4 linked regions of the Struthio camelus genome follow. The protein of the gene in region 1 purifies or fractionates together with the protein of each later gene. This does not show direct contact. Links are inferred from orthologs where the notes say so. Each region holds a gene or a part of one and is shown on either strand. Other genes may lie near its edges. The genes, in order: TP53RK, OSGEP, GON7 and NUP43.

Region 1 (5,882 bases):
TCGGCGGCGCTGGGCGAAACGCCCTTCCCGCTGCCCTCCTGCATCTGAGTCCGGAGCTGTGTGCGCAAATACTCAGGCTTAGATTTGCCTGCACAGACTGATAAAGTTCCATCAAAGAGCTCGGGCATGGCTACACTTGTAATTGTTCTGAAAATGTGGATGCAGCAGGGTACAGCCTGTGTTGCTGGGATGGCAGCTCTGTCCCCAGGCTCTGCCTGTATGTTACTTTAGCGGGGGGCAGGAATCACCTCTCCCCACTGACCCCGGACCCGATCCTGACACAGAGTTTTACTCCTCTAGACTGGAAACCTTTGGAAAGCCCACAAGAGGCTGGCTGATAGTTTATGACAGTTTTTTGGTGGCTCAGCTGGGAAGCCGAAGAATACCCACTAGGAAGGATCGATCATTTCAAGCCTAAAAAAGGGCAGCATGACTGAGTTTGAACTCTTCTTTTCTAGTGGACAATCACTGCTGTGGGTGCAGTGCCGGCACACCCCTCCAACGCAAACAAAAGTAAACGTGTTGGGTGAAGAAGGAAGGGTGCATGTGATATTTTTAAAAGAGCTTTTCAACTTTCATTCCGCATGTTAACTGAATGGGCAGTTTAAGAGAAATATTTGAAGACTCATTCTTCTGGCATGTAGGGATGGGGTACATGCCATGGCTCTGCTCTGGAGCTCAGCGGTGCTACCTCTTTCTTTGCTGCAGCTCATAGCTTTGGGGTGCTTGAGACTGGCAATACTGGATGGTGTGTGTCCTTTCAGCCTTAGGCTGGAGGATATCTGCTCTGCAATATGGACAGCAGTTGATCAAAAGGTTTGGTTTTGTTTCTTCTCAAAGACATGGTATATATTAAGAGTGTTTCAAATCATCTATGTATTTTACAGATTAAATAAATGCTTCCTATTCATATCCCTCCGTTTCAATGGTAATACAGTATGTAAAAAATACCGCTTCTAAAACCTTGTATCTAATATAAACTCGCAGCTGCACAGGGATCATACGGTAGGTGAAGAATGGCTTCAGACGTGAAGACTTTCAACAGAAACTAATGGTGTTTCAGGAAGGAGCTTTTCAATAGAGTTTGTAATTAATATTAAAGTAGTTTAAATAGATCTGAAATCATGGTTAGCTCTCATGACACTCAGAGGGAGGAAAGGCTTGCCGTCTTCTCTCTTCCCACAGACTCTACCTATGAGGCCGGCTTGCAGTGGCCAGAAGACATTACAGGTCTGTATCTTGGCCTCATATTCCAAGTTTTGAGAGCACAGCAGTTTGGGGTACAGCATGTCCTGGCCCATGATCTCTGGCCTCCCAAATTCAGGTAAGGGCTCTCTTTGGTTTGTAACTCCTCCCCGGAGCACAAGCCTAGACATTTTGGGTGCACAACGGTGTGAGCTGGAAGAGGTGGCACCTGCGCTTGACTCCTCTGCCACATGAAGCAAGGAGCCAGAGACCACCGGATGCTGGCGGAGGGCAGCTACAGCCCTCAGCATCACTGGGTAAGTATATGGCTTGCCCACATAGCCTACGTTTTATCTGAGCAGTTCCTGCATGTTTTACTAGAATGCTTCTCAAATGATTGTGGGGTGAGAAGGAAAATTCTCCATGCTCACTCTGCATACGTGTATCTGCAAGCATGAAGCCACCCCTTACGTTTCCTGGTGGCTTCCTGTTCTCTGGCTAGTAAATGTTATCAGCAAAGACGGCAAGGAGGTGAGGTCCTGGGGAATACAGCAAAGCTTTATGGCATGTTTACAAAAGGCAGCCGAAAAGATTACACTAGGACGTACCGAAATATAGCTGCCCTCGGCACTGCGTCTGGCTCCGGGTTATGGCCCTCCGACACGGGACCGTGGAAAACTCTTACAATGCACAGCGGGGGTAATTTTGAAAAAGGTCTTGCTTTGCAGTTGTGTAGGTAACATCTGTCTTGCTAACTGTACGGTTTGCAGTTAATGCATGCTCTGGGCCGGGTGAAGCGAGCAGCTTGGCTCTTTGGGCTCTGATCTCGGCCCTCGGAGGAGCTGCAGCGCCCGAGCGAGCCGGGCGCTGAGCCGTGGCCGCTCCCAGACACGGGCGGCTCGTGCTTCTCCTCTGCTGCGCGTCTCCAGCCCTGATGCTTTCCATGCGCTCTCGGCACTCGTGTCTCAGCAGGGCCATGTCTCCTTCGGAGCCGTGTCGTGCTCTTGGCTTCTGGTTTTGGATGCGTGAGGGAACCATCCTGCTTCGAACTGAACCAAACACCGGGCACTAGCCGCAAGGACGTGTGTGCTGGAGGGCTCAGCGCCTGAAGCGGCAGCCTGCGCTTGGCAGCACGGCCTGGACTGAAGGTGCTCTGCGCGGCTCAGTGAGGAACGAAGATGTGACTCTGTACCGCCGGGCTGGAGCAGCTCAAAGAGACTTTAAAATCAGAAATGAAAATATAGATATGGGAGGAAACAGGTGTCCACCTTAGAAGAAGGAAGACACCGCGTTCAGCAACGCTAGTCACATGCTTGAGCACGTTCTCTCTAACTAGAACTCACCCTCCAGAAGGGATTCAGAAGACTAAACGGACCAAGCTCAATTCACTTATTGATGAACATTATAGCACATGAGTGGGTGCGAGGGTTGTAGCTAGGTAGGGTGAAGCCAGCTCAGTGGACACCTGCATTTACAGTGTGCTGATTTACAGCTGAGAGCGCTGGTTCGTATTAGGCTCGTCTGTTCTCGTTTTTCTTTTATGCTAACCTGTGCGCATCCTTCCAGTCAGCAAAGATAAGGGCATTTTCACAGCTTCCTCCTTTCCTTCCCTACCGCCTTCACTAACGGGTCATAAACCTCCATTCGTCCCGCGGGTGTCGCAGCCGTCTCACCCCCAGTGCCGTCACGGCAGCCGGCGGGGCTCAGGTTCGCGGGGCGCAGGCGGGGGTGCTCCGGGCGCTCGCCGGGTCCCCCGCACGTCCGAGGGGCACCGTCCCGGCTCAGCCTTGCGGCGACGCCTGGCGCATCCCGGGCCCCCGCACCCCCGGCTGCCGGATCAGGATTGCTTTCCCTTGAGCTGGCTTTGCTGCGTTGCAATTTTAAACTCAGTTATATTGTTTACGAAAGGAGGGTTTGTAAACGCTTGTCGCCAGGAGAACAAAGTTACATAATTAAACGGTTTACCAGGGAGTCTGGGGCTTCAGGGAAATTCTCTGGGGTGATTCAGAGGTCCAATAAAAATACTGGGCGATACCATAAATATTGTGAATGGCTCCAGATGGTTTCCAAGGGCTATGTCAACCGCTTACCGCACTGAAAGCGCAAAAGAATAAATCGAATCACAGGGAAGATAGTACTTGAATAAATAAAATATTGGGAAAAATAAAACAAAAATATTTTCTTTTGTATTTTGAAAACTCGGGAGGATGATTTTGGCCAGCGTGAGAGAAGAGTGTCCTGTTCGTTGTTACCAAAACAACGAACCGAAGGCATCTGGGTGCACTCGCTCGTGAGCCGCGTGCAAGTCTGCGGGGGCTGTGCACGGCTGCTCAGATAAAACCTGCCCACAAGGCAGGGAAAACGTGTTTTCTGCTTATTTGACTACTTGCGGTGTTGGGAAATGCCAAACACGGAGCCGCAGAAGGCGCCCGTTTGCCGGCAGGTTGCACCGGCCGCGACGCTGCGGCGAGCCGCTGCCAGGGCGGCTGCGGCGAGAGGGCGAGCGCTCGCTAGGGCACCCCGCGAACACACCGAACCTGGAAGAGAAACAAACGCTGCGGGCGGGAAAACAAAAGACAAAACGCGCTTCTGGCCACCTCCAAGGGCAAGGGCAGCTGAGCAATACTAACGTGCGCTGGGCGGACGGCTCTGCTGCCGCCGGGGCGGCGGGTGCCGCTCCCCTCACCCGGGGGCGCGCTGTGGCGGGGGCGCCGGCGGCCGGCGAGCGCTGCAGGCGAGGGGGGGGGGCGCTCGGCTGTTTCCGCCGCGGCCGCCGAAGGTTCCCGAGGCGGCGCCGCGCCTGCGCAGTGCGGGGTGTGCGGGGAGGGCGGGGCGCAGAGCTCTGTCATGGCGGAGGCGGCGGCGGCCGGGAGGGAGGCGGAGGAGGAGGTGGCGGCGCTGCCGCTGCCGGGGCTGCGGCTGGTGCAGCAGGGCGCCGAGGCGTGCGTGTACCGCGGCCGCTTCCTGGGGCGGGACGCGGTGGCCAAGCTCCGCTTGCCCAAGCGGTACCGTCACCCGGCGCTGGAGGAGCGGCTGAGCCGGCGGCGGACGGCGCAGGAGGCCCGGTCGCTGCTGCGCTGCCGGCGGGCAGGTGGGGCCGGGGGCGGCGGGCCGGGCCGGGCCGAGCCGAGCCGAGCCGACAGGCCCCCCTCGGCCCTGGCCGCCGCTCTGGGGACGGGCCCCTGCGCCCCCCCGGCCCCCGGGGCTCGGCCTCTCCTGAGGGCGCGCGGCGGCTCTGCCCCGCCGCCTTTCCGGGGCTCCCGCCTAAGCGCAGCCCGGCCTAGGCCCAGCGCAGGCTTTGCAGCCGCCGAGGGCCGCGGTGGCCGGCGCCGTGGTCGGGCTGGGGCTCCCGAGGGGATTTAAGGACGGAGGCGAGGGCAGCGTGGCCTGGGAGGTGGGGTTTGGCAGAGGAGGGCCCTAGAAGTGGGTTATCGGTGGCCAGGGGTGATCTGAATCTGGCGTTTTTCGGTTAAGGGTCGCGTTGACTGTGTTTTGTTGTTCTAATAAAGTTGGAAGTTCCTATAAGTTAACACTTAACGTTTAATTTGTCCTTTTTTTAAATAGGGATTCCTGCACCGGTGGTCTACTTTGTGGATTATGTCACCAACTGCATATATCTTGAAGATATCGTAGACTCGGTTACAGTTCGAGATCATATTGCTTCTGTACAGCAATGTGGAAATGATTCCAGTAGCCTCCTTCCCCTAGCAGAGAAGTTAGGTGAGCTCTTGGCAAGAATGCACGATGAAGACCTTATACATGGGGATCTTACAACTTGTAATATTCTTCTGCGACCACCCATGGAGAAGCTGGACTTGGTGTTGATAGACTTTGGACTCAGTTTTGTTTCAGGTCTTCCTGAGGATAAAGGAGTTGATTTGTATGTTCTGGAAAAGGCCTTTCTTAGTACTCATCCCGATACAGAAACTGTGTTCCAAACTCTACTGAAGACTTACGCAGCTACATCCAAAAAATCTGGTCCTGTTGTCAAAAAGCTGGATGAAGTACGGTTAAGGGGAAGAAAGAGATCCATGGTTGGCTAGAAAAGAGCAGGCTTAGTGATGGAGAAATATTACTACTTAGGTTCTGCATATATGTTTATTTGTACTTCCAGTTGGTTTTATTTCACATATCGCTATTTTGATAAGTCTGTGTCTTAAATAAATTTACTACAGTGTGGCAATAATCTTTGTGTAGTTCTTAGCAGAGTCATACAGTAACCAAAGTAATTATGTGAGATGAGAGCACAGGCAAGAAAGAAACAGCTAAAGGTTACTTCTTTTTTTTAAAGGTTAAATATTTCTTTTAAAAAGTAGCTTTCAATGTCATTCTACTGGCCCTCTTTTGTGTAGATAGAATCATACTGAGTATCTTTTTAGCCTGTGGACTGTAGATTTGTGGCAGGTAAAAGGGACCTGGAGATACCAAGACATCTACAGAAGGTAACTAGAGAAAAAGAAGCCTGTTCTTTTTCTCAGAAGACTTACTGTGAAGCTTAGCTTTAAATTCATTATAAATGACTCTCTACCTCCTCCTGAAACTTCTCAGGAGGACTGTGAATTCCAAGACATGGACAACAGCTGAAATGGAGATAAAAATAAGACAGGTCCATTTTTTTCAGTAGTAATTTTGGCTTTTGTAACTTTTGATATTCTTTCATTAAGCAAATATAGAAATAATAAAACAAGAGCAGTTCT
Region 2 (7,284 bases), on another chromosome or scaffold:
AACCCAGGTGTCCGGGGCAGGGACCCAGGCGTCCGGGGCAGGAACCCAGGTATCCGGGGCAGGAACCCAGGCGTCCGGTCCAGGGGGCCCAGGCGTCCGGGCACCTGCAGGGCGCGAGCGAAGCGGTCCAGGCAGTTGCCCACGGCCACGTCCAAGGTCTCGCCCAGGATGCGGTAGCGGCGCCGGGCGAAGGCGATCACCTGCCGGCAGACGGAGAGCGAGAGTTCAGCGTTCGGCCCGGGGGCTCCGTGTCCCCCCCCCCCCCGAACACGCGTGTCGCCCCGAGCCGTGTACCTGCGTGTTGCCGCCGCTGACGTAGAGCACGAGGGGGTCGCGGGCCCCGCACACCAGCCGCCCCATCTCGATGTGCCCCACGCAGTGGTTCACCCCCAGCAGCGGCCGGTCCCACAGCTGCGCCAGCGTCCGGGCCGCCGCCGCCACCACCGCCAGCGGCGCCCCCATGCCCGGCCCTGCGCCCCGCGCACGCTAAGCACACGTCAGCCCCCTCGTGCCCCCCCATGACCCCCACGCGCCTCCCGTGCGCTTGGGACGCGGCTATAACCACCGATAAGGCCCCTGGGAGGAGTGCTGAGCGCACACGCTAAGCACATGCTAAGCACATGTGAACCCTATCACGCCTCTGGGGCCCCCCACGACCCCCACGCGCCTCCCGTGCGCTTGGGATGCGGCTATAGCCACTAATATGGCCCCCACGAGGAGTGCTGAGCGCACACGCTAAGCACATGCTAAGCACATGTGAGCCCTATCGAGCCTCTGGGGCCCCCCATGACCCCCACGCCCGTCCCGTGCGCTTGGGATGCGGCTATAACCACCGATAAGGCCCCTAGGAGGAGTGCGGAGCACACACGCTAAGCACATGCTAAGCACATGTGAACCCTATCACGCCTCTGGGGCCCCCCACGACCCCCACGCGCCTCCCGTGCGCTTGGGACGTGGCTATAACCACTAATATGGCCCCCACGAGGAGTGCTGAGCGCACACGCTAAGCACATGCTAAGCACACGTGAGCCCTATCGCGCCTCTGGGGCCCCCCACGACCCCCACGCGCCTCCCGTGCGCTTGGGACGCGGCTATAGCCACTAATATGGCCTCCACGAGGAGTGCTGAGCGCACACGCTAAGCACATGCTAAGCACATGTGAACCCTATCGCGCCTCTGGGGCCCCCCACGACCCCCACGCGCCTCCCGTGCACTTGGGACGTGGCTATAACCACTAATATGGCCCCCACGAGGAGTGCTGAGCGCACACGCTAAGCACATGCTAAGCACATGTGAACCCTATCACACCTCTGGGGCCCCCCACGACCCCCACGCGCCTCCCGTGCGCTTGGGATGCGGCTATAGCCACCGATAAGGCCCCTGGGAGGAGTGCTGAGCGCACACGCTAAGCACATGCTAAGTACATGTGAACACTATCACGCCTCTGGGGCCCCCCACGACCCCCACGCGCCTCCCGTGCGCTTGGGACGCGGCTATAGCCACTAATATGGCCCCCACGAGGAGTGCTGAGCGCACACGCTAAGCACATGCTAAGCACATGTGAACCCTATCACGCCTCTGGGGCCCCCCACGACCCCCACGCGCCTCCCGTGCGCTTGGGATGCGGCTATAACCATCGATAAGGCCCCTGGGAGGAGTGCTGAGCGCACACGCTAAGCACATGCTAAGCACATGTGAACCCTATCACGCCTCTGGGGCCCCCCACGACCCCCACGCGCCTCCCGTGCGCTTGGGATGTGGCTATAACCACTAATATGGCCCCCACGAGGAGTGCTGAGTGCACACGCTAAGCACACGCTAAGCACACACGACCCCGATTGGGCCTACATGACCCCCAGTGACTCCCACCCACCTCCCCCCCACCCGGGACACGTCTCCAAGTGCTCCCAGGGCCCCGGGGACGCACACGGCACGCACACGCTAAGCACACGCTAAGCACACGCTAAGCACACGCGACCCCGATCGGGCCTACATGACCCCCAATGACTCCCACCCACCCAGGACACGTCTCCGAGTGCTCCCAGGGCCCCGGGGACGCACACGGCACGCACACGCTAAGCACACGCTAAGCGCACGCCAAGGACACGCACCGCGGGTGAAGGCCACGGCGTCGACGTCGGCCGCCCGCAGCCCGGCCTCCCGCAGCGCCGCCGCCACCAGCCCCGGCAGCCGCCGCCGGTGGTGCCGCGCCGCCGCCCCCGGGGCGAAGCCTGCGCGGGGGGGGGGGGGTCACCCAGGGGTCGGGGGTCACGGCGGGGTCACGCGGAGGGGGGGGAGCGGGAGGGGGTCGCCCGGGGGGGTCAGGGGTCACGGGGGGAGGTCGGGGGTCATTCAGGGGTCACCCGGGGGGGGTCGGGGGTCGCCTCGGGGTCACGGGGGTCACAGAGGGAGGTCAGGGGTCATTCAGGGGTCACCCGGGGGGGGTCAGGGGTCAACCGGGGGGGTCAGGGGTCATTCAGAGGTCACCTGGGGTCAGGGGTCACGGGGGGGGTCAGGGGTCATTCGGAGGTCACCAGGGGGGTCAGGGGTCACGGGGGGAGGTCAGCGGTCATTCAGGGGTCACCCAGGGGGGTCAGTGGTCACGGGGGGAGGTCAGGGGTCACCCGGGGGTCACGGGGGGTCAGGGGTCACGCGAGGGTCAGCGCTGCCCTCACCCCCCCCGAGCGGTGACGTCACTGGGGTGGGGGGGGGAGGGAAGGCCGTGACGTCAAAGAGCGGTGAGCTCGTGGAGGAGGGGGGGAAGGGCGGAAGTGACGTCACGGCGCGCGCGGGGAAGGGGGAGGAGGGCGGAAGTGACGCGGGCGCTCACCGTGGCCGGGCGCGGTGACGTAGGTGGCGCGCGGGTTGCTCAGCACCGCCCCGTCGCGCACCAGCCCCGCCCCCACCTTGTTGGCCGAGCCCTCCAGCCCCAGCACCACCGGCATGACGTCACCGCCCGCGTCACCGCCCGCGTCACTGCCCGCGCTCCTCTCCCCGCGCCGCCGCCGCCGCCGCCGCCGCTTCCTACTTCCGCTTCCGGCCCCCGCGGGTCCCGCCCCTTCCGCTCACGTAGATCCGGCGCGCGCTGATTGGTTGGGGAAGCGGCGCGCGGGGAGGGGGAAGCGGCGGCGCGCGCGGATTGGCTGGAGCGGGGCGGGGGTGGGCGGGGGGAGGAGGAGGAGGGAGCAGCGGCCGGCGGCGCGCGCTGATTGGCTGGAGCGGGGCGGAGGGGGGCGGGGGGAGGAGGAGGAGGGAGCAGCGGCCGGCGGTGCGCGCTGATTGGCTGGAGCGGGGCGGGGGTGGGCGGGGGGAGGAGGAGGAGGGAGCAGCGGCCGGCGGCGCGCGCTGATTGGCTGGAGCGGGGCGGGGGTGGGCGGGGGGAGGAGGAGGAGGGAGCAGCGGCCGGCGGCGCGCGCTGATTGGCTGGAGCGGGGCGGGGGTGGGCGGGGGGAGGCGGAGGAGGGAGCAGCGGCCGGCGGTGCGCGCTGATTGGCTGGAGCGGGGCGGGGGTGGGCGGGGGGAGGCGGAGGAGGGAGCAGCGGCCGGCGGTGCGCGCTGATTGGCTGGAGCGGGGCGGGGGTGGGCGGGGGGAGGAGGAGGAGGGAGCAGCGGCCGGCGGCGCGCGCTGATTGGCTGCGGCGGCGGGCGCTGATTGGCTGCGGATGTGGGGGCGGGGCCTGGGGCGGAGGGGGCGGGGCCTGGCGGCGGCCATGCCGAAGCGCAGCAAGAAGGAGGCGGCGGCGGACGGAGATGGCGGCGAGGAGGCGGCGGCGGAGACCGGTAGGGACCAGTATAGACCAGTATAAACCAGTACGGACCAGTATGGACCAGTACGGCCCGGCACAGGCCGGCGCCGGCCCGTAACCCCGCCCACTGCCCCCCCCACGATATCCCAGTGCCCCCCCACCCCCCTCCCAGTGCTCCCAGTAGCCCCCCCAGTGGCCCCAGTGCCTCCCAGTGCTCTCCCAGTGCTCCCAGTAGCCCCCCAGTGCCTCCCAGTGCTCTCCCAGTGCTCCCAGTAGCCCTCCCAGTGCCTCCCAGTACCTCCCAGTTCCTCCCAGTACTCCCAGTAGCCCCCCGTGCTCTCCCAGTGCTCCCAGTAGCCCCCCCAGTGCCCCCAGTACCTCCCAGTGCTCTCCCAGTGCTCCCAGTAGCCCCCCCAGTGCCTCCCAGTGCTCTCCCAGTGCTCCCAGTACTCCCAGTAGCCCCCCCAGTGCCTCCCAGTACCTCCCAGTCCCTCCCAGTGCCCCCAGTAGCCCCCCCAGTCCCTCCCAGTCCCTCCCAGTGCTCTCCCAGTGCTCCCAGTAGCCCCCCCAGTGCTCCCAGTAGGCCCCCGTGCTCTCCCAGTGCTCCCAGTAGCCCCCCCAGTCCCTCCCAGTGCCTCCCAGTCCCTCACAGTGCTCTCCCAGTGCCCCCAGTAGCCCCCCACTGTCTCCCAGTGCTCTCCCAGTGCTCCCAGTAGCCCCCCCCAGTGCCTCCCCGTGCTCTCCCAGTGCCTCCCAGTGCCTCCCAGTGCCTCCCAGTGCTCCCAGTAGCCCCCCCAGTGCCTCCCAGTGCTCTCCCAGTGCCTCCCAGTTTTCTCCCAGTGCTCCCAGTGCTCTCCCTGTAGCCCCCAGTGCTCTCCCAGTGCCTCCCAGTGCTCCCAGTAGCCCCCAGTGCTCTCCCAGTGCCTCCCAGTTTTCTCCCAGTGCCTCCCAGTGCTCCCAGTGCCTCCCAGTACCTCCTAGTGCTCTCCCAGTGCTCCCAGTAGCCCCCCACTGCCTCCCAGTAGCCCCCGTGCTCTCCCAGTGCTCCCAGTAGCACCCCCAGTCCCTCCCAGTGCTCTCCCAGTGCTCCCAGTAGCCCCCCCAGTGCCTCCCAGTAGCCCCCAGTAGCCTCCCAGTGCCCCCAGTAGCCTCCCAGTGCTCCCAGTAGCCCCCCCACTGCCCCCCACTGTCTCCCAGTGCTCTCCCAGTGCCCCCAGTAGCCCCCCACTGCCTCCCTGTGCCTCCCAGTGCTCTACCAGTGCCCCCAGTAGCCCCCCCAGTGCCTCCCAGTACCTCCCAGTCCCCCCAGTAGCCCCCCAGTCCCTCCCAGTGCTCTCCCAGTGCTCCCAGTACCCCCCACTGCCTCCCAGTACCTCCCAGTGCTCTCCCAGTGCCCCCAGTGCTCTCCCAGTGCTCCCAGTAGCCCCCCCAGTGCTCCCAGTAGCCCCCCATGCTCTCCCAGTGCCCCCAGTAGCCCCCCAGTCCCTCCCAGTCCCTCCCAGTCCCTCCCAGTGCCCTCCCAGTGCCCTTACAATCCCTTCTAGTCTCTCCCCGTGCTTCCCAGTCCCTCCCAGTCCCTCCTAGTGCCCTCCCAGTGCCCTTCCAATCCCTCCCAGTGCCTCCCAGTCCCTCCCAGTGCCCCCCAGTGCCTCCCAGTGCCCCCCAGCGCCCTCCCAATCCCTCCCAGTACCCCCCAGTCCCTCCCAGTGCCCCCCAGTGCCCTTCCAATCCCTCCCAGTCCCTCCCAGTGCCTCCCAGTGCCCCCCAGCGCCCTCCCAATCCCTCCCAGTACCCCCCAGTCCCTCCCAGTGCCCCCCAGTGCCCTTCCAATCCCTCCCAGTGCCTCCCAGTGCCCCCCAGCGCCCTCCCAATCCCTCCCAGTACCCCCCAGTCCCTCCCAGTGCCCCCCAGTGCCCTTCCAATCCCTCCCAGTGCCTCCCAGTGCCCCCCAGCGCCCTCCCAATCCCTCCCAGTGCCCCCCCAGTCCCTCCCAGTGCCCCCCAGTGCCCTTCCAATCCCTCCCAGTGCCCCCCAGTGCCCCCCAGCGCCCTTCCAATCCCTCCCAGTGCCCCCCCAGTCCCTCCCAGTGCCCCCCAGTGCCCTTCCAATCCCTCCCAGTGCCTCCCAGTGCCCCCCAGCGCCCTCCCAGTGCCCCCCAGTGCCCCCCCAGTCCCTCCCAGTGCCCCCCAGTGACGGCGGCGCGCCCCCCCCGGCAGGCGGGCGCCCCCCGAAGGCGGCGCGGGGCGACGGGGGGGCGGCGGCGGCCCCCTACGAGGACCCCCCCGACCGGCTGACGGCGCCGGGGGGGCAGCGCTTCACCCTCAAGGTGACGTCCTGGAACGTCGACGGCCTCCGCGCCTGGGTGCGCAAGCAGGGCCTGCAGGTGGGGCCCCGGCGTCCGGGAGGGGCCCCGGCGTCCGGGGGGGGGCCCAGGGGTCCGGGGGAAGGGGACCCAGGTGTCCGGGAGGGGCCCAGGCGTCCGGGGAGGGGGCCCAGGTGTCCGGGAGGGGCCCAGGCGTCCGGGGAGGGGGCCCAGGTGTCCGGGGAAGGGGCCCCGGCGTCCGGGGAGGGGGCCCAGGTGTCCGGGGAAGGGGCCCAGGCGTCCGGGGAGGGGCCCAGGTGTCCGGGGAGGGGCCCCGGCGTCCGGGGAGGGGGCCCAGGTGTCCGGGGAAGGGGCCCAGGCGTCCGGGGAGGGGGCCCAGGTGTCCGGGGAGGGGGCCCAGGCGTCCGGGGAAGGGGCCCAGGCGTCCGGGGAGGGGCCCAGGTGTCCGGGGAGGGGCCCAGGTGTCCGGGGAGGGGCCCAGGTGTCCGGGGGAGGGACCCAGGCGTCCGGGAGGGGGCCCAGGCGTCCGGGGAAGGGGCCCAGGCGTCCGGGAAGGGGCCCAGGCGTCCAGGGAAGGGGCCCAGGCGTCCGGGGAGGGGCCCCGGCGTCCGGGAGGGGCCCAGGCGTCTGGGAGGGGGCCCAGGCGTCCGGGAGGGGCCCCGGCGTCCGGGAGGGGGCCCAGGCGTCCGGGAGGGGCCCCAGCGTCCAGGGAAGGGGCCCAGGCGCCCGGGGGAGGGGCCCAGGTGTCCGGGGAAGGGGCCCAGGTGTCCGGGGGGGGCCCAGGCGTCCGGGGAGGGGCCCAGGCGTCCGGGGGAAGGGGCCCAGGCATCCGGGGAGGGGGCCCAGGCGTCCGGGAGGGGCCCAGGTGTCCGGGGAAGGGACCCAGGCGTCTGGGGAAGGGACCCAGGCGTCTGGGGAAGGGACCCAGGCGTCCGGGAAGGGACCCAGGCGTCCGGGGGAAGGGGCCCAGGTGTCCGGGGAAGGGGCCCAGGTGTCCGGGAAGGGACCCAGGCGTCCAGGGAGGGGCCCAGGCGTCCGGGGAAGGGGCCCAGGCGTCCGGGGAGGGGCCCAGGTGTCCGGGAAGGGGCCCAGGCGTCCGGGGAGGGGCCCAGGCGTCCGGATGAGGGGACCCAGGTCTCCGGGGAAGGGGCCCAGGCGTCCGGGGGAGACCCGAAACGCCGGCCCTCGAAGACCTGACGGACCCAGGCGTCCCGC
Region 3 (6,082 bases), on another chromosome or scaffold:
TCAGTGTCATCAGGTTTTATTTAGGAATGCCATATTCCTAACTTAACTGTCCATAATACAAACTTAGTACAAACTGATTTATTATGAAATAATTATTAATGATTTCTTTAGAAATATTTAGATTTCACTAAACTTGGGAGAAATTAGTTCATATTTTATAATAATACTAATACAGTCTTTTCCTATTTGGAGGATTTATGCCTTTCTTATTCTTTCTGTTCCTAACAAACTCATTTTTTAACATCTAACTTTTATAACTGCAAAGGAAAGTTTCTATGCGTAAACCAAGTGCCATGTTTTAATACTTCAGACAGAGAAACAGCATTTCCACTGATATAAAGGAAGGCTAAAGCCACTGTTAAAAGACAAAACATCCCCACCCCAGAAGCAGTCTTGTTAGAGCACTGTCACAAGCGTGAGGAAGCAGATTCTGATCTCTCATATCAAGTGACTTCTCTGTGTTCGTAGGATTTCTCAAGATAAACCCATTCCCTAAGAGAACCATATAATTCTACAGAGAGGAAAGCAGAGATGAGTGTACCACCATTTTGTCTGAATGATGGCGTGTCTTCCTCCTCTGTTTTTAAAGTATAAAGAGTTTTAACTATTTTTAAAAAGAAAGTGAGAATGTATTACTTTATATAGTGAAAGACAGTCAAAAATAATATCGATCATAAGATTTCTGAAAGTGGGATCTTCCTTAAGAAACAGCTCGAGGATCACCCTTTGCACAGTGGTTTGTATAGACACCTTCTGAACATGGTTACTGCATATTGCATTTCTTACCTCATCTTCAGGATCGGGATAAGGTCTTTTACAAGTACAGTATAATCCAAAGAAATTGTCATTATACTTATTTCCTGAATTCACTTTGCCCTTTTCCTAGAAAGAAAGGAGAAATTGTTTCAATAGGCAATGCAGTGAGAAACAGAAGACCGGAAAGATGCATACCCTAAAAAAAATTTTTACTTCCTAAAAGCGGTCATTACACTCATCAGCTTGAGCATCTGAAAACAAAGATATTACCCTGAGACCCCTATGTTATACAGTCGGCAGAAGACAGGGCACGTGAGGAGTACTGAAGTTCAAAAGGAAAGACGAAGAACAGTCTTTTCACACACAGAACAGCAAATGGCAACTATCGTGGGTTTTGTTTAAAGCTATTGCTCATCTAAAAATGCCTAAGAGCATAATATTTCTTTAACAATAACTGTTGGGAGCCAAATTTAAATTTCTTTTATATGTGCACAATTCTTTCCAGAAGGCCATTAGCCACTAAGCTTTTATTCAAACAAAATCCTTGAGGTTTGATCACCAATCATGCATGGCTGTTGCCATTGCAGCAAAGTCTGCACATTTACTGTGCACCTTCCACACGCTCTTTCTTTTTTTAAGCATCCAGACTGTGGTCCAAACTCAATTTTGTTTAATGTTATGTTTTGTTTAATGTTTAGCTTACACTAAATTAATGTCATCTAAACCTCACTCCATATGAGAGGGTGTTCCAAATTACAGAACACACTGAATGAAGTTCAGTTACAGCTAATTCCACTTCAAAAAATAACTAATACAGCTGGGGCCGGAGGACTTCAGAAGTGTATGTACTTGCAGCCTAAGACCACAGTCAGCCCTTGCAAAAACAGCTGTGACAATTTATATGCTATAAAATGCTTTTTACCACTACTCTGTTAAAAGAAGAACAGATGATATGAGCTCACTTCATCCATGAAGTCAGCCAGCTGAACATACTGATGTTGAAGGTCATTTAAACTAGCAGATTGATTTTGCACTGAAGAGAAGGAGGAGCCATATGATCCATTTCACTGACTCAAACAAGGAGCAGTAACGTCTTAGAATTGCCACACGCGACTCTGTAGGGATTACCTGACTGCAGCTCTAGGCTTACTAGCTCTGGATCAGCCCCAATTCTGCCAGGACCAAACAGGTATACACAGAACCACTTGCTGTTTCTACACTTGGAGCATTATCATCTCAGGAACAGAACTGCAGGCAAGCCAAAAAGCTTCTTTCCTCTGTCTGCTTTCCAGAACATTACCAAATACTTAATGAGTCCAAACTGCCCACTGAGCATGAAACTACAGGGAGCTTAATACAGTAAAAAACTACTCCTTCAGAAGACTCCAGTGACAGCCTATCAAGAAAGATTAGCGCACTAACGCTGCCACAGGAAAGGGGATGGAAATGTTCCTTCAGCACAATCTGAAGTTTCCTTAAAGCAACTGTAAAATCATACCCCAAAAAGATTCTCCTGAAGCCAGCTTAGAGATAGCAAGAGTTATCAATACAGGCATCACAACCTGCTAAAGCATTTTCGCTGTTTCAAACATTGAGCTAGCTATGTATGCTAGCAGCTGCATCCAAGAGTGACAAAGCTCAAACGTTGCCCCTCATTTAACTTGCAGGGAGAAGAAGAGGCACAATATGAGTCAGCACTCTCTAAGGCAAGATACCACAACCTTCTAAAACTGTTATTTTGATTCTGTATGTCTAAAAACCTGTATCTGAACTTACTGGAAGTAACTTGCACTGCAAATTTTTGAATTTGCTATTTCCACAGTCACAGCGGAAGTTCCTGGAAAGAAAAACAAAGCATTTCAGATTGATTATCTAAAAATGCATTAACTTTTGTATTTGCAACAATTCCCAACAGTTTATTAGGAACCATAAAAATATTCTTGCAGCTATTTAAACAATAGCATCTGTTAGAACTGGCCAAAGAGCCTTGCGGCCTTACCCTCTCATGCTGTGTTTCTGGCAGATCTCAGCTAACATCATCATTTACAACAGCATTTGGCTGAGAGACCTCAATAGAACAGCTAACTGAGGGTGCTGCAACTACCACATTCAAAAAGGCAAGCATGTGTATTGGCAAAAGCGTGTAAATTGGTTCATCTCCAAAGGCTAGGCTAGATCAACACAGACGATTAAGCTCTTATCTCCTATTCAGGACCCTAAATTCTCACTAAAATAGCACGGGACACTTGGATAGCTAAAGAGAATGGAGGAACGTGACTACTTAATTAACCTGACCTAAGTTTCCGGCCCAGTTTTGCAAACTTCCATACTACTGGAAACACGGTATCTTAGCATGAGTTGCACATCTAAACATTGTCCTGCTTTGGTCCATTAAAACCCATCTTAAATTTTTTTTTTTATATATAGCAGAGGACGCTGTGGGAAAATTGTTCTCTGGACAATTAATCTAGATACCAAAATTCTTCAAGGAGTTTCGAAGTACTCAGACCATTAAGGAAAACACGAGAGGGGAGGACAATTATTAGTTGAAATCACTGTGTTTCAGTACCCTGTTAAAGAAAATGCTGTATTTCACGTCAGAGATGCTTGTGTTGCACTAAATAATTGCATGAACCTTAAATGATTACCTGATTTGCAAGCGAAATTGCAAGGATAAGCCTTAGCATTTAAAAAGCAATTGTGGCAAGCACATTCAGTAGTTCCCAAGAAAACCCACGGGATGAACTCTGGAAACCAAAAACTTCGTAGATTCGAAAAGACGCAATACCCCTAGTTCTTACGGTACTGCTTCCACAGGGGGAGACTCAAATTGCTCTGTGCCTCTCAGCGTTACTTTTTATTTCCCTGTTGCAAGCAGCCTGTGTGTACTTCAGGGCACAAGATGGACACAGGTGTTTGTTAAGAGGAGGACGCACTCGACGTCTGCGGAGGCGCTACGCTCGCTGTTCTGCCGTCCCGCTTCGCGGTTTGGCCGAAGCCCCGGCAGCAGCGCTCCTCCAGCTGCGGGTCGCACGTTACCTCTTGGTGTACAGCTCGAACAGCTTGTGCGTGCCGTGGCACTCGTAGCTGCAGGCCAGGCAGATGCCCGCCGGCTCCTCGCCCGGCGGGGTGCAGGTGCTGCAGGCGTACAGCGCCTGCCTCTTCACGGCGCCCTGCAACGAAACGGCGCGCGTGGGCACGGCGGCGCCGGGCCGGGCCGGGCCGGGCCGCTGCGGGCGGCGAGCCCCGCGCAGCCCGGCCGCCCCCCGCCCCCCGCCCGGGGGTCCCTCGCGGCCCCGCCCCGCCCCGCCGCGAGGCGCCAGGTGCGCGCGCCCGGCCCGGCCCGGCCCCGCCCCCACCTGGGAGTAGCTGCATCGCTCGTGGTCGCTGCCCCCCAGCACGGCCCGCGCCTCCTTCTCGAGCTCCTCGTTCTCCGCCAACACCTCCGCCAGGGACACCACGGGCTCCTCCGGGCCCCCCGCCCCGCCGCTCCCGGGCTCGGCGCCCTCCTCCGCCGCCGCCGCCGCCTCCATCGCCGCCGCCGAGGGCCGAGCCAAGCCGAGGCGGGAAAAACGCGTCTCGGGCGCCAGGGGGCGCCGCGGCGGAAGCGGAACCGCAACCGCAACGGCGCGCGCGGCCCACGTGACGCGCGCGGCGGCGAGTCACAAAGAGGCGGGGGGGGGGGGGCGGAGGCAGCTGCCGCCGCGCGGCGCTGTGTTGTGGCACGCGGCCTGCGTGAGCGGCGCTGTGGGGCGGGGCTTGCGCGCGCGATGCGCGGCCTCGCGGGCGGGTTGCGAGCGCTTCCGGGTCAGCCCGCGCGGGCTGCGGATTGGGTGGCGGCGATGCCCGTCACGGCCCCTTGCCCGCCCTCCCCCTCCCCCTCCCCCCCTCCGGCGGCGGCGGCGGCAGCAGCGGGATGGAGCTGCGCGCGGAGCTGACGGGCCGCGACGGGCGGACGTGGCCGCTGCGGGTGCGCTGCGAGGCGGAGGCGGGCGCGGGCGGCGAGCTGCGGGGGCTGCTGCGGGGGCTCGAGAAGCTGCAGGAGCAGGTCGCGGAGCTGCTGGGGCCTCTGGTGCAGGAGGAGAGAGAGGCGGGGGGCCGCGGCGGGCCGCGCGGTGAGTGGCGGGCGGCCGTTGGGCGCGTGCCGCGGGGCGGGGCGGGGGCGCGCGGCGAGCCGGGCGCCGCGCGCCCCCTCTGCCTCAGCGCCCTCCCTCTGGGCAGCCGTGTGCTACTGGAGGGGGGCTGTGTGCCTTTTTCAACACCTCATCCGCTGTCTGCTTGAACCCTGGTAGGTGATGTTGGGGAAGAGGAGGAGGAGGAGGAGGAAGGAGATGAAGATGAAGATGAAAACAACGTTGACGTGAAAGCAAATGCAGATGGCCCACCTCTAAAACGGACAAAAGTTCAGCAGTCCTGACTATGGCGTGAAAGACTGTATTTAGGCCTAAAAAAGAGACTTTACAGCAGTATTGAATGTAAGTGTTCTTTTGGAGGGTGGTACCTCGGGGGTGGGCAGACTGTTCTTGCAAGGCAGGTGTCAGCGTTTTTCTTCCTTTTGCTCATGTTTTAAAAATGAAATGTAGATCACTGTCACTATTTCAATATAAGAAGCCTAATAAAAGGGTGTGTATTAGCATTAGCAATGTGCTTTTTACAGGAAGCGAATATTAGGCTGAAAAGATTGAGAATTTTCAGTAAACCAGGTGACAGATATGAAACACTTTTAATGGCTTCTCCTGATCACAGTATTTCTTCATATGACTTAAAACCAAACTATTTTAAAATAAAATAATAAAATATGAAGCCCGTTATTTTGTCAGCTATGGTTTTTAAATGGTATAAGACAAAGAAATCATTTGTATGGAGAGAGAATAGTGTAAGATCACTTGAGTATTCAAAATAAGTTACAAACACTTGCACAGATGTGACTGTCTGTTCCTGAACGAGCCTAAAAGATGGCAGATTGTTTCTGCGTATAATATAAAAGGTTTATTTTAGTCACCCATCACTGAAGTACTTTCCTGGTAAAGGTCATAGAAGAAGTAGATTGAAAGAGCTGGAAATCTTAGTCTCCAAACATTTTGAATTTTTATGATAGCCAGGAAGCTGACAAGTCAATGCGACTTGGATAATTATCTTTTATATCATTATACAAGTAAAACATAGCTGTCTATCCTAGTCATCTGTTTCTTCCAAACAATCTTTGTTTTTTCAAGAACCATTTAATCTTTATATACCTTTTTCATCACTGACTTTTAACCAGTTTGATTTTTAGGCCGATTCAGCAGCTAAGTCAAATAAAGTGAACGTCACAGCCTTATTAATC
Region 4 (7,519 bases), on another chromosome or scaffold:
CCCCCTTCTGGTCTCTGTGAGTGAACTTTCTCAGGCAGTCACACACCGGAGACTGCAATTTTGCCGTGCTCTGAACCAGGTGCAACACTATAGTTGCATCATCTACCTATTACCAGACAACAGTTTCCAGTCTACCCTCTTGAAACATGAGAATAGTGATGTGTAACTATAAAAACTCTGGCCATGTCAATAATATGTAGTATGAAACATTAGAGAAAAGTAGTATTTCAAGCTACCTATGTGCATACTTAGACTTGTCCTGTGCTTTTTAGGGAGATTTCCAGTCGACTTCTTTCCTGACTTACTGTACAAGAAAAATCCATTGATACTGTCATAGTGAGCCCCCAGGCTTTCAGTGTTCATTCAGTTTATCTTCTGAAGAATGTTTTCCCCTTCTCAAGAAAATTCTCTTTTGGAATCACTTTCTGTATTCAGTACAATTACTGCACAGTTACAGCTATAACTGTGATAACTTCATGTCTTGGGTAAGATCTTCAGCCAAACTCTAGAACTCTCCTGAAAAATAAGAAATGAGTTAAGGTACCTGCCCAGGCCACCTGAACTCTTTCCCCAGTGACTCACAGTAGCCAAACCAATTGCAGTGCTCCAAGCACATGTAGCTGGTATCGAGGGTGAGTGTTTCAGCTGAAACAGCTTGGTAGAGCTGTAATAGAGATTTGCAGCAATCTGGGAAGGCAAATGCAAGGCATTTTAAGCATAAAAGATGAGCTTCTCCACTTGATACTGGTGTGAAAGGAGGGCCAGGGTAGCTTGTAAAATCCGAAATAGCAAATGTCTAAACTACACTTGCATAAGTTATCTGAGCAATAAGGTAAAGGGGTCCTCTTACCAAAGAGATTGTAAGAGGGAGTGGTATATTATCTTTAGGATTACTGATGAGCAAAATCCTAGAATACAGATGATATAATGTGCTGATGTGGAAAATTATCATCAAATTAAATATTGTATATAGGGGTTCATTAACAGCTAGAAAGCTATGCACTTAATATGCTGTCATGGCCAGATAAAAATAACGCAGCTTATATCCTTTCAGTGAAGGAGAGTGAGAACAACATATCCTCCGACAGATATAAATTCAAAGATTGTATTGTTCCTTAAAGACATTCCTGAGGGCTGCTGTAATGCAGATGTCTTCCTTGGTACAAGTCCAGCTATGATCTTCAGGGCAACTGCAGCTTCCTCAGATGTATCCAAATGATCTCAGGCTTAGGATGCTCCCTGCAGTAGGTATGTCCTTTGAGATCCCAAAAGTCTCTTGGCCCTATAATACTCTCTTTGGCCTTACCCCAGCTGCACATGTACAGCCCTGTTACCTGCCACAAGGCAGATAATGGATTCCAAGAGCTCAATCACAAACTCTTTTTGCCACTAAAAGAGTCTACCGCTTAGTGGTAAATTTGCCGCTAAGGAGAGCAAGCAGCACAATGGTCTCAGCAGGGCTGGTCAGCCACCTTGTTTGGGGAATCATGGTTCCAACGTCACAGGCGGTAAGAGATACGTCTCAGCAACCCGTGGATGTATTAAAGTGTAACCATGTTTCTGGAGGTCGCCATCCTGTCACAGCGGCTTCTGAAAACAGCTGTGCGCCTAGTAATGGGACTACATCTTTCTGCAGAAGACTAAGAGCAGCTAAATTCAACATCAAAGGACACATGCAGCCTGTATGGAAGATACAGATAATATCTTCTGTGAGAGAATCCATCCTGGGAGAGATAAGCCTCTTCCAACTGCTCACCACACACATGCTTCATCTCATGATTGTTAGTCGCAGTGAAGGGAATAAGGCGGAGGTGGGAATCTGCTTTTCCAGCTAGGACCTTATCTAGAGCAAATCTGGCAGTTGTCCCATATACACACCAGCTCCCATCCACAGACTTCCCAGACCTCTTCCATCTGGTTCTTCTAATCGTGGAGACTGATCCCCTGCTTCATTCTGTATTCTCTATCCATTTTCTCCCAAGCATGATTTGGGGGCTACTCTATGTTCCATGCGAGATTCCCAGCCTGTCCCACCATACATAGAGGTCTTTCCTCTGGTATCTAGGGGGCCAGGAGAGAAGGAAGGAAGTCATGGAGTTAAAGGAATTCCCAAAGGCCAGCAAGCACAGAGAATAAGCAGACATTGTAAAAACACACAAAAATACTTAATAGTTTTAAATGCAAAAGACATCTTCTGTTGTCAGATGCAAGCAAACTGCATTACTCCCACATAGAGAGGCTGCTGGCAATAAATGAGTTGGCCTATACTTAAAAGCATTCCAGGGATACTTACCCATTGGGAGACCAAAACACAAGAGAAAACATTTACATACAAACTGACTCTTCTTACCAGGACCAGCTCAAATTAGAATGAAGCCTGTCACAGAGCACAGAGAAAAAGCCCACCTTTGTTTGCTAGGAACATGCAGAATTGCGCAAAAGCTTTCAAACCAGTTGTGCCACTGGCTGCCTATTGGCTATGTTCTTGGCATGACTGTTCAGAGAGAGAGAAGAACACAAGCATGGGCCATCCAAAATGAAATCTGGGGTAGCTTGGATGGTTACCAGGCACCTGTGAAATAAATGGTGTTTGGCTCTGCTGGTTCCTAGGAGCTTTAAGACAAGTCAATTTGCCGTAAAGGCACCTGAGAAACTGAAGCACACCAATAGCATCAGGATGCACCCATCTGTGCAATAAACAAACATGAAGGTCACTAACTCTTTCTGCTCTATGACCCTAGGCCGTGAGTCCCCTTTTTAACTTATTAAAAACATCTGTAGTAAGATAATCCTCTGAAAAAACCACAAACATTCTGTGCTATGTTGGAAGACAAACTTTAAAAAGAGATGTTTTTTAGATACGTTTAGTTCCGTGAAACCTCTCTATCTGCTCTTACACCCAGCATTTCTTTATCTTCTTCCCCTCACCTGTGCAAGCCAGTTTGAGTGCCTTGGTTCCCGAGGCCCGCTGCCAATTGCAGGTACCTCCATCTTGTGTAAGTACAGCCGTCTTCATAGATTCTCCAGTACTGTGGATGTTGGTCACAAAGAGCTGGTGTGTGGACTGGCCAGTAAGGGAAGAGGCATGGGAATGCTAACAGCCAAAGCAGACAATCACTTAATTGTTTTAATGTGGTGATTCCAGTAATTTTAAGTACACAGCAGATCTCAGCTCTCTCTCTTTTTCTACACATTCACCCACATCTGAATCCCTTAGCTGTATTTATATACATTTATATGTAAACCCCTCCCTGCTACTGTTTCTGTTTAATGCTTCCCTCCCACCCCCTGAACCCATTAGAATTTTAAAATTCTTTTAATTTAAAAAGCATATGAAACTCTGGTCATCACTGCCTGATCCCATCTGCTTCTGCATATACTTTTCACAAGCAGAAATGTCCTCGTGCACTGAGCATTTCCACAGTTATGTCCCAAAGTACACACTAACCATCTTCTACACCTACACTCACTCCTCTCTGTGCCTCTGTTCTGTTTTTAACTTAATCACTCCCCTTCATTTCATCTCTTTTCCTGCAATCTCAAGCCAGCCTGGTGTGTACCTTCATTTTGTACTTCCATTTCAGAAGTTTACATCTAGGATTTTCTGAAGTCTGCATCCCCCTCTCCGCAGCTCCAGCTCCAGTGGGAGGTGAAAAGGACTCAGGCACATCAGAGTCTCTCAGTGCCAGGGAGCAGCAGGAGTGGGGCTGCTCCATGGGGGAAGAGGATGCTAGAGCCAGGGAGGATGACACCCCACCACAGGGTGCAGTCCCACAGCATCTGAGCAAGGCAAGGAGAGCCAGGGTTGAGGACAATCATGGTTCTGCCAGCACACAAAAGCAAAGTGACGAGTCAGGCCCCAAATCAAGCCAGTCACCAAGTCATGGGCACAGGTCCACAGGCCCTCCTGCAACATCACTCAGTGCAGGAGTGGGTGCCACAGGTCAGGTGGGGGTCCCAGATAGGGCTGGTCAGGGCAAGGAGCGGGTACACTCATGGCCCTGGCACTCGGCTTTTGTGTCAGCCCTGCAGCATCCTGCATATCAGCTGTGCTTGCTCAACAGACTGAACTGAGCACAACACTAGGAGTTGTGACCAGCGATAAATACAGTGTCTCCAAATAGCTTTCTTAAAGTATTGCTGAATGATAATTGGAGCAAAGTATATTAGAAGTAAACAGCATCTTCAGAAGATGCATAATTAGGTTTATCCTGCCCTTGTACAGCCACTAATCCAATAAGTCCATTCATTCCCAGGCTCTCTAACCTCTGGCAGAGAAGGGTGTTTTCCTCCCTTCCACTCACTCTCATAACTTAAGTCACATTTAAGGATAACCCTTAGAAGCTTCTTCTTGTTTCAGCTAATATATTTGGATCTAATGCCCACAGTTAGCTTTGTCTAGACTTTAAATCCCCTTTTGGCAACCTTAGAAATATTTGGTGAGTTATACTTTCTCCTCAGGCTTTGTTTCCTCCTTTTGTTTATTTAAATCTGCTATTACACTGAAACAACATATCAACACAATACATATCTTTCACAATGATCAAATATAGAGAACATAAGATATTGAAAGGTATTATAGAGCAGTCCTAAATCCATCATAGCTCCCAACTCCATCACATAGCATGCTGCCAAAATACTTCTTAAAAAGGTAAGACAGGAAAGAAAACTCAGGATTTTCTTGCCCTAACGAAAATGGCCTGTATGGCCAGCCTACTCTCCTTCATACTTTCCAAATGCTTTTGATAAATCAACCCTGTTCAAAGAATGAAACTGCCCCAGAGCAAAGGAGAAAAAATACACACAGTAAGATTATAAATTTATTTTCTTGCAGAGTAATCAGCAAACACATGTGCCTAATAAAACATTTCAGTAATTCCAAAGCGTTGTCCTGGCTCTTCCACTTTTGGTTATTTGGTCTGTAGCAGTATTCGGAGGTCACCTATTGACCCTTCTCACACCTATTACAAGAATTAGCTCAAAATATTTACCTTAGAGTTCATTGTGACTTGCACAATTGCTGCTAGTGGCTTAATACAGGGTGGCGGAGGTACTGGTTACTGTAGAATAACAATGTTACATACAGCACAGCGTAACAAAGCTGTTCTGAGGCTTACAGTATGGTAGAACACAATAGCACTCAGCCTCTTGAATAAGTTCGGTGTTGGATTCTGCAGTGCATAATTCTGAAAAAAAAGCGTTCCTCACAGTTGAGGTTCAAATGATGCATAAAGCATATAAAATAATATGACTGATTTGGTATCACATCTAAAGGTTTGCAACACTGCACGGCAGGCTTGATGAGGAACTGACAAATGCTATATAACAAGAACAGAAGACTCTGGCAGGCAAACTGCAACAATACAGGTGAATGTTCAACCATGACACTGCTGCTAATGCTAATAAGTACCCCTGACAAAACCTTGGACAGCTGATAGTAGCTTTTAAAAGATGTTGCAAAAAATAGGTTGAAAAAGAAGAAAGCTATCTATGAAAAAGTCCTTTACTTTGGAGTAGTGGTTAAATGGATAGTCCAGTCCTCTGAAATGACCTCCCTCTACAACTAACCTCTACTAACCTTTTTTTTTTTTTTTCCACACAGTCATTTAGGTCTGAAGTGAAATAGATAAAGGAAATAGGACAATATACCTGTGTTTATGCTTATTAAAGTAATATTTGGGACGAGAAGGATTTTTGCAGTTCACCACCACTAGGGATTTCACAGAGGGAAAAGAAGAGCATCACCAGTAGTGATTTAAAAACAAATCTAGAGAACAGATGATTAGTTCATATAAAAGCCATTGATACTGCTTAGTGCATTTTGAGAAAATAAATGTTGGTGATCTTGCAAAGGTTTAATGTTATGTGCTGAAGCCAGGCTGGCTGAGCCTACAAAGTACATTTGCAGACTCACTTTTCATTTTATTTCTTCTTCCAGACCCAATTTTGTAAATAATGTTTGTGCGATATATGTACCTTGACCCAATTATTGTCAGTTTTCCTGACATGAGAGTTTGTAAGAGTGAAATGTGAAAGGAAAAACAGTAAGATGCTTTTTTTCTGAGCTGGGAACATCATCAGTAGGTTGGAGGAAACACAGCATCTCTGAGGCAGGTCAATGACATTACCTGTGAGGTATAGGCAGTTCTTGGCAATGTATTTTTGGAAATGTGGAAGAAGGAGCGTGGAGACAGTGCAATTGGTGGAAGGGCGAAGGAAAGAAAGCATTCCTTGCCGAGCCGGGCCCGCTTACTGGAGGGACCTCAGGAGCGAAGAGATGGTTGTTAAGGTCACTGCCCTCGCTGGGGGATGTTTTCCTCCCTTTCTCCGTCACAGCCCAAGAGGTGGCCGCGCCGCACCGGAGCGTTTGGTTCCCGTTTTCTCAAAACGCAGAGATGCAACTCCCGCAGGCAGCTGCATAGCGCAACGAGACTCGGGCCTGGGCCGCACCCAGGTGCCTCTTTTGGGGAAGTCAGTAGCAGAGTTAAGAAACCGTTATTTCCTTCACTGTCGCTTAGTAAAGCGAAGAGAAAGGCGTCCCAGGCGCACCCGCTCCCCTTTAGCGTCCGTTAGAGCAGGCGGCCGTTACCCGTGCCGGTAACGCGACGCAACGCACCTGCGCCGCCCTGCCAGTACAAACGGCCGCGGGCCGCCCCTCCCCGCCTACTATGGCGAGCCCTGCCCCGCCTGGGCGCGCTCGCCGCCCCTCGGCAATCCTGTCCCTCCTCGCTCGCCGTCGCCGCGCGGCCACAGCCAATCAGCAGTGGCGGCGCCAGGCGCGCGGCGGGAGCCGGCGTGCGGCGGCGGCGCCGGCCATGGAGGACGTGTGTGCCAAGTTCGTGTCGCAGAAGGTCAGCAAGGCCCGCTGGCGGCCCCTGCCCGCCGCCGCGCTGCAGCCGCCCGACATCTTCGCCACCGGCTCCTGGGACAACGAGGTACCGGGCGGGCCGGGGAGCGGCGCCCCGCGCCCGGGGGCGTGGCGCGTCCTTTCCGCCGGGGCGCCGCGCCGCCCCCGCCGCAGCCCCGTTAAGCCTCTGCCGTTTGGAACGGGAGAGCGGGGCCGAGCGGGCTCCTTCGCGGCTGTGAGCGCCGAGAGCGGCGGCGGTGGGGCCGGGCTACGGGGAGGGAGGTCTGTAGGGCTGTAGGATCGCCCAGGCCGGGCGCCAGCGCAGCTCCGGGCCGCTGCGGAGACGGCCCTGCGTGTTAGGGGAGGGCGCAGCCCGAGGGGCTTGCCTCTGCTCTCTCTTACTGATGTTTGCCAGGCTTTGTTTGAAAACGGGCGTCTGCCCAAGTTTGTAGTCGAAGCTCTCTTTCCTAAGAGCTTCTGTATGTGTTTGTTTCTGCTTTATTCTTTTTCCTTAAGACTAGATGGCCTGATTTATTTTTGAAGAGAACTTATTTATTCGATGCAGCTAGTGTGCTGTGAGCGTTTGCTTTTTTTCATGTGGTAACTCCTTGAAGAGAGTGTATCAAATACATACACATATATATATATATAAAATATATATAGAATATATAT

What was found.
Region 2: the proteins of TP53RK (region 1) and OSGEP purify together in Homo sapiens (affinity purification with mass spectrometry; 5 studies listed by BioGRID and IntAct, counting the BioPlex papers as one, with this or other methods). This does not show direct contact. The link is inferred for Struthio camelus from reciprocal best matches to the Homo sapiens genes TP53RK and OSGEP.
Region 3: the proteins of TP53RK (region 1) and GON7 purify together in Homo sapiens (affinity purification with mass spectrometry; 5 studies listed by BioGRID and IntAct, counting the BioPlex papers as one, with this or other methods). This does not show direct contact. The link is inferred for Struthio camelus from reciprocal best matches to the Homo sapiens genes TP53RK and GON7.
Region 4: the proteins of TP53RK (region 1) and NUP43 purify together in Homo sapiens (affinity purification with mass spectrometry; 3 studies listed by BioGRID and IntAct, counting the BioPlex papers as one, with this or other methods). This does not show direct contact. The link is inferred for Struthio camelus from reciprocal best matches to the Homo sapiens genes TP53RK and NUP43.

What each region holds. Positions count from the first base shown.
Region 1 is NC_090959.1:8,360,605-8,366,486, reverse strand, and holds TP53RK (EKC/KEOPS complex subunit TP53RK), read left to right. Parts: upstream 1-3,997; 5' UTR 3,998-4,032; coding exon 4,033-4,276; intron 4,277-4,749; coding exon 4,750-5,228; 3' UTR 5,229-5,371; downstream 5,372-5,882.
Region 2 is NC_090970.1:842,187-849,470, forward strand, and holds the start of OSGEP (tRNA N6-adenosine threonylcarbamoyltransferase), read right to left. Parts: upstream 3,023-7,284; 5' UTR 2,946-3,022; coding exon 2,831-2,945; intron 2,232-2,830; coding exon 2,112-2,231; intron 471-2,111; coding exon 295-470; intron 201-294; coding exon 105-200; intron 1-104. Other genes in the region: DNA repair nuclease/redox regulator APEX1, read left to right, coding at 3,711-3,780, 5,963-6,129. UniProt on the Homo sapiens protein: Component of the EKC/KEOPS complex that is required for the formation of a threonylcarbamoyl group on adenosine at position 37 (t(6)A37) in tRNAs that read codons beginning with adenine.
Region 3 is NC_090946.1:66,327,037-66,333,118, reverse strand, and holds GON7 (EKC/KEOPS complex subunit GON7), read left to right. Parts: upstream 1-4,638; 5' UTR 4,639-4,672; coding exon 4,673-4,871; intron 4,872-5,048; coding exon 5,049-5,173; 3' UTR 5,174-5,559; downstream 5,560-6,082. Other genes in the region: putative E3 ubiquitin-protein ligase UBR7, read right to left, coding at 787-882, 2,533-2,593, 3,796-3,929, 4,116-4,289. UniProt on the Homo sapiens protein: Component of the EKC/KEOPS complex that is required for the formation of a threonylcarbamoyl group on adenosine at position 37 (t(6)A37) in tRNAs that read codons beginning with adenine.
Region 4 is NC_090944.1:82,000,806-82,008,324, forward strand, and holds the start of NUP43 (nucleoporin Nup43), read left to right. Parts: upstream 1-4,493; 5' UTR 4,494-6,668; coding exon 6,669-6,935; intron 6,936-7,519. UniProt on the Homo sapiens protein: Component of the Nup107-160 subcomplex of the nuclear pore complex (NPC). The Nup107-160 subcomplex is required for the assembly of a functional NPC.